Xenopus tropicalis: one gene and its partner. The protein of the gene in region 1 purifies or fractionates together with the protein of each later gene. This does not show direct contact. Links are inferred from orthologs where the notes say so. Each region holds a gene or a part of one and is shown on either strand. Other genes may lie near its edges.

The links. Proteins that work in one complex are often made in the same cells at the same time.
Region 2: the proteins of nipsnap2 (region 1) and hadha purify together in Homo sapiens (affinity purification with mass spectrometry; 3 studies listed by BioGRID and IntAct, with this or other methods). This does not show direct contact. The link is inferred for Xenopus tropicalis from reciprocal best matches to the Homo sapiens genes NIPSNAP2 and HADHA.

The regions. Positions count from the first base shown.
Region 1 is NC_030678.2:98,148,833-98,152,350, forward strand, and holds part of nipsnap2 (protein NipSnap homolog 2), read right to left. Parts: intron 1,340-3,518; coding exon 1,200-1,339; intron 1-1,199. UniProt on the Homo sapiens protein: Protein involved in mitophagy by facilitating recruitment of the autophagy machinery required for clearance of damaged mitochondria.
Region 2 is NC_030681.2:154,386,889-154,390,258, forward strand, and holds part of hadha (trifunctional enzyme subunit alpha, mitochondrial), read right to left. Parts: intron 3,041-3,370; coding exon 2,922-3,040; intron 2,741-2,921; coding exon 2,684-2,740; intron 2,540-2,683; coding exon 2,430-2,539; intron 2,276-2,429; coding exon 2,141-2,275; intron 1,986-2,140; coding exon 1,814-1,985; intron 953-1,813; coding exon 866-952; intron 693-865; coding exon 552-692; intron 359-551; coding exon 290-358; intron 1-289. UniProt on the Homo sapiens protein: Mitochondrial trifunctional enzyme catalyzes the last three of the four reactions of the mitochondrial beta-oxidation pathway.

The DNA of each region.
Region 1 (3,518 bases):
AAGGTCAAAATCAACCCAGAAGTGAGGCCATAGCCATATTGAAAGATTAAATCACACATACATCACATAATGTTGAACATGACGCTTACTTGCTATTTAGGATTTGCTGTTTCCTGATGTCTACTGCTGGCCACACATCAAACAAAAAGGTGCTTGACTGCACTCTGATTCCTTGCAGTCATTCTCTGTGGGTCTTCCTTTAATATCAATGTTGCTAACATAACCCTTACTGATGCTAACTACTTCAGACTTCCTGGCCTTTTGTTCTCTGGGTTTTTCATTAATGAGGTGATAAATATGTGCAAACTCCATGTGTACCATTATGGAAAATATGGCAGTAGTGCTGTTACATTAGTGAGTCATATCATAATTTAAAACAAATATTTGTCATAAATCAATGCATAAAGCACACAAAATTATATGAGGATAGTGAAGTTTTGCTAATAATTAACAAGAAGAAGGAAAGACCATTCATGCCATACATGAAAATATTAACTAGAAAGTGGCTTGATCAATATACAATATAAAAGCTTCTTTCAGGCAATATAAAGATTGTAAATAATTTGCCGCATAAAACCAAGATGCTATGTAAATATCTTATTTTCCTAATTTGTAAAGGTCTGTTCACATTAAAGACTTTGGTCCTTCATCCTAACTGTAGTGTGGCCTGGATGCCAGTGAAGAATACTGCTACTGAAGGTAGACTGGAGTCTGCAGTATATATAAGCCATAATACATAAAACAATAATCACCAAATCCTTCACTAACATTTCTACCAACATCTCACACTTCAGTCCAGTCTTATAGCTCTGGTTCCATGGGTAGTGTTTGGGGACTTTCTGAGAGCAAGTTTCCTTCAACTGAAAGGGAAGTGCACTGCACCTGTACCAGAACTATATAGATCAAAATATATAGATCAATATATATATCTGCCTCTTATGGGATTATCCATACTCCAAATACACTGCATGAGAAGAGGGTGTTCTATTAATCATAAAATAACTATGTAATTGCAGGAAAAAAGATGTTAACCAAAATGGTTAAACATCCCACTGAAAGTCTGAAAGGCTACACTAGAACTGCCCTCTGTTTAGTAGATCACAAAAAACATTTAGGAATACCAGCTTAGAGGTTTTCTGTATGAAAGTATTTTCTTCTCTTCATGTATGCTCTAGTAACTGAGAAGTGGTAATAATTACACTGAATTTTGTACAGGTTACTGATCTCCTTTTTGGCCAGAAGGTTTGAGTGAGCATCCTTCCGTGGATCGACTTTACGAACAAAGAGTGATCGCAACCAGCTGTCTTCTCTGGCTTTCTGACTCGATGATGCAAGACCCCTGTAATAACAATATATCAGTAAGAGCTGGGAAGCAAGATTTAAAATGGACATGGCAAAAGGACCAAGTTATACAGCTCTTGCAGCACGTTGAGTTTATATTACTATATACAATATAATACACCTGGCCTAAGTCTATCTCCCCACACTATAACTATATAAACATAAATGCTTTACAATCTTCAACATTCTCAATTCTTGCTTAGTAGGGATAAAGTACAAGGTACTGTTGTATTATTACAGAGAAAAGGGAATTTAAAAAAAAAATGTAATTATTTGTTTAAAATAGAGTCTGAGGGAGATTCCTGTAATTTGTAATTTATTACCCTTTATGGGGTGACATTTCCCTTATGAAAAATGGACTGAAGGCGAATTTAACTGCATCTTTAAATAGCTCTAGGGAATGTGTCTGTAGTAACAGGTGACCGGCACATGCAGAATGTCCTTCAAACTGTGTGCCAGAGACTATTCTAACCAGAGCGACAGAAAAACAGCATAGAAGAATCTACCATTCTCTTCAGTGATGTCTGCAACCTTAGTAAAAGAAAGCCATAAAAGGACTAAATTATTATATAAGCTCCCTTTGCCTGCAGTAAACAATCTTGAGCACAGTGTAATGTTTTTCAATATATTTTCACTCCACATGATTTACAACTTGTATAGAGTTTGTTGCACCATAAGTCTTGTTTTCATGGATTATTGCTGGAGTACAGGATGGAGCACTTTAGAGATAATACATTGTTATATAACTGAGACACAATAACCCAGAAAAACACAGAAATGTGGCTATTTGCCACCCCTGGTAAAATGCTGTCTGAGGCAATGTTCTCTTAAAAATTGTATGGACTACCAGGCATTTTGAATTCCATGGTTGCCACTATACTACCCGATCACTGTTTTTCTTTTTCTTTTGTGCTTTTAGCTATCAGACATCGTATCTTATGATTTCTCATAACCAAAAGTAAGACTAGGTCAGTTTGACTTCTATTTATATGAGAAGCACGCTCATTTCTTCTTTTTTGCTTGTTCTTAGCATTACCTTCTTACTGCTTCACAATTGCACATAACAGTTTTTACCTTAAATACAATGGGATGTTTTTTCCTATTGCAAAACCTTCTGGCAGCAGGCAAGGCTGGCTTATAACTTCTAATCATTATAGAAGTAATCTCTATAAACCCACTATTAGGCTATAGGCCTACACGACTATTCTACTCGCAAGGCCTTGGCATACTGCCCAAGCTAAATGTTTCTTCATTCCCCAGTAAGGATGTCTATGTAGCACAATATTGTCACTGCTGTAGTATATAGTGATGGAGAACCTGTTATCTTTTTAACATCTGAACATGATAGTAAAATTGCTGTACTTCTACCCCCATATTTGTTCATCCTGAACAAATGCTTGTCATGCAGTTGCATTGTTTTCTCAATTTAACACCAAATTTATGGGCTGCAGTGAAAGCACCTGAAAAAGTTATGGGTGGCATTACCTTGACCCTAATTTTCTTTACTATTAAACTTTATATTTCTGTGGTTTAATTATGCTATTTGGGCAGGGTCGGACTGGAGGGTGCAGGGCCCACCGGGGCCCCTGCCCCAGGGGCCCTCCAGGTGCCCCCGCCGGCCGTGTCCCTTAACCCCCCCCAGGGGTCCCCACCCCACGTCCACCCTGAGCGTGCATACATTTAACGTGTCAGGGGAGGAACAGTCGGGCAGGGGAAGTGCCAGCAAGGGTCGGGTCTGGGCCACCGGGGCCCACCAGGTTTTTTCCAGGTGTCCCAGCAGCCCAGTTCGACCCTGTATTTAGGGCACTTTCAAGCTGTAGTTTAAAGTGACCTATAACACAAATCTGGGGAAATATTAAAAGTCTTGTTTACTAGCTTAGATGCTATTTTGCACAACTGGATTTGCCAACAGCAACTAAGCAGGTCTTTCCTTTTTATTTTTTTAACTTGTAACAGACCTCATTTTAACCCCCCCAGGGGCCCCCACCCCACGTCCACCCTGAGCGTGCATACATTTAACGTGTCAGGGGAGGAACAGTCGGGCAGGGGAAGTGCCAGCAAGGGTCGGGTCGGGTCTGGGCCATCGGGGCCCACCAGGTTTTTTCCCGGTGTCCCAACGGCCCAGTTCGACCCTGTATTTAGGGCACTTTCAAGCTGTAGTTTAAAGTGACCTATAA
Region 2 (3,370 bases), on another chromosome or scaffold:
GACTGATATATGAATAGGAGAGGGACTGAACAGAACAATAAGCAATATAAAGTAACAATGACAATAAAACTGGAGCCTCACAGAGCAATAGTTTTGTTTGCCGGGGTCAGTGACCCCCATTTGAGTTAGAAGAAAAAGGCAAATAATTAAAAACTATGAAAAATAAAAATGAGGACCAATTGAAAAGTTGCTTAGAAATGGGCATTCTATAACATAACCACCCCTTTAACTTCTGCTTGTATAATTAACCTGTAATTAAAAGCAAAATGATATTTCCTTGTTCCATTACCTGCAGGACACGGACAACTTCAGCCATCATGGGACCAAGGCAGCGGGTAGTGTAGAATCCTGGCCCGTCCTATTAAGCCATAAAAAAAATTAACCATAATCCTTACGTCTTTCTCGAAGCAAAAATACCCAATAAACAGCTTAGTTAGATCCATATAGGAAAATAAAATTAAACAAATCCAGGTAACCACGGGCACAGAGGGGCTCCCTATGGTTCCCATGACAAACCCAGCACCGACCAATCCCGGGACTCGTGTACTTACCTTTACCACAATGATCACCTTGCCCTGCTTGAGGCCGACAGCGACAGCGGCAGCGGTGGTGTCCTTAGAGGTTTTGTCAGTAGTGATTATTTCCAGCAGCTGCATCTTATCCACAGGGGAGAAATAGTGCATCCCGATCACCTACACAGATATAATATATAAGGTCTGGGCACAGCTCTGTGGTTACACACTCTGCTCTCTCTGCGGATCAAATCTTCATCATTAAACCAGCACCTAAAGGGTAAAGGCTTTGCCGCTGTCACAGAAGCAGAAACCCCAGTAATGAAATGATTGGATATCCGCCTTGTACTCACTTTTTCTGGCCTTTTGCTGGCGGCTGCTATCTGAGAGATGGGGAGGGCCGACGTGTTGCTGGCAAATATACAGTGTGGGGGGACAACCTGCGGAAAGCAAGAGACATGGTTTTACAGATCTAGGGGGAGATTAGATATATACATATATTGCATAATCACACTAGGCTCAGACTATAACTTGTCACACACACAGTAGAAATATCCAGCCTACTGATCCTCTGGGCACGGGGCATCCAGCCAAGCACTGGGCGTTCCCATTGTGCAACCCCACAGAAGCTGCCTGCTCTCGAATGAAAGTGCTGCCAGCTAGCACACCCCATACATACATGAGAAAGGCCTCTATCTAACAAGTTATGGCAGAGGCTGCACAGGATCTGATTGCTCAGCACGTACAGTACCTGTACTTGATCCCAATTAATTACCCCTTATTGGGGGCAGAACAGCCCTATTGGGTTTATTTAATGGTTAAATGATTCCCTTTTCTCTGTAATAATAAAACAGTACCTGTACTTGATCCCAACTAAGATATAATTACCCCTTATTGGGGGCAGAACAGCCCTATTGGGTTTATTTAATGGTTAAATGATTCCCTTTTCTCTGTAATAATAAAACAGTACCTGTACTTGATCCCAACTAAGATATAATTACCCCTTATTGGGGGCAGAACAGCCCTATTGGGTTTATTTAATGGTTAAATGATTCCCTTTTCTCTGTAATAATAAAACAGTACCTGTACTTGATCCCAACTAAGATATAATTACCCCTTATTGGGGGCAGAACAGCCCTATTGGGTTTATTTAATGGTTAAATGATTCCCTTTTCTCTGTAATAATAAAACAGTACCTGTACTTGATCCCAACTAAGATATAATTACCCCTTATTGGGGGCAGAACAGCCCTATTACACACAGCAATGTGTACAGACCCCTATGAAACTACCGATACTCACAGCTTCCACCTCCTGTAGAACTTTGTGTTTAATGCGGATATCCTCAAACACGGCCTCGATCACCATGTCGGCTGTCTCGAAACCCTTATAATCCAGCTGCCCCGTCAGGTTGCTGACAATGCTGTCTCTCTCAAACGAAGTCAGACTCTTCTTCTTCACCTTGTCATTAAGCCTGCGGCAAATAATGGGGTATTTTTATTTTAAAAGCATAATCATCAAACCAATCAATTTTATCATGACGCCTGCTAGTTCTTCACAGATACCCCCAGGTCTTGGAATTACTATTGGATAGTAATTCCAACATACAATTAAACATATAACACTTACCCTTTGTAGACTTGTTGTTGCCCTCTTCCTAAGCCTTCCACTGTCGTGTCCTTCAGAATGGTCTTTAACCCTTTATCCACAGAGACCTGAGCAATGCCAGCTCCCATAAGGCCAGCCCCAAGTATAGCCAATTTCCTGAGGAGATTGCAAGACATAAAACATTACATTACAATAGAGGTGTCTCAGCCATGACATTAGCCAGTATAGGTCCAAAAACTCTTTTGAATGACCCCCTTTTATACTAAATACACATCTAATCGTGCCAAGGGCCGTTATCGTCAGCACTTACTGTACTGGTCTTTCTGGAGTGCCAAACTTATTCTTCTTACAAATAACCTGTCCGTGGTACAGCCCGATTAGTGCTTTGGACTCTGGGGTCGTTCCCAGCTCCCCGAATTTCTGCAGGATTGACAAGAGAATGTTTATGTGAAACAAAGGAAATTCTAATTCAGATTCCAAACTATCGGAAATGACGGAAACAGAATATATTAGCTGGATGCATGTGAGGTAGTGGCTGCCGACACACGGCTGCTTCCTACATACCTGTGCCTCGGCCAGATAGCCAGCCTCCTGTCCCTGGTCCAGCCCAGTCCTTACCACCTGGGAGAAAAAGAAAATGGAAAAGACAATGGAAACGTGAGCAACAGAAAAAGTGGATTGACTGAAAGCAAACGCAAAAGTCTTGGGAAGAACTTTGGGAGAACATGGCTAGGAATGCTGTATTTTATATACACCTGCAGAATAACTCAACTAACTCATGAACAGTCAATGTGTACAATACCTCAATAATCTTCAAGGGGGCAGGGTAAAGACCCTTTGTCTGTTTATTCACTTTTTTCTCCACTGTTTTGTAGATTTGTTGCCGGACAAACGGCACGGACATGACATAGTCTGTGACCTCTGAAACAAAAGAGAAAAACATTTTTGCACCATTAGAGCCGTGTTTGGCGCACTAAGCGTACTGGATGGGTTCTGGCTGAAGGACAAGTAGTACTTCCCATTCTACCCCCATACAGCCCACGATAAGAGCTGGAGTAAAGGTGTCCATATCACAGGATATAAAGCAGAAAGTAAACTTTAGTAGTTGGGAACTAAAGGCGTTATATAGTAACATGACCGTAGCCTGCTTGTGTATTCCTGACGCTGTGCTATATCAGTCAAATCTAACTGCTGTGTGTTTGCGAAGGATTACTGGCCCAGGGCAGACTATGCCTAAAGGTGGGCACCGGA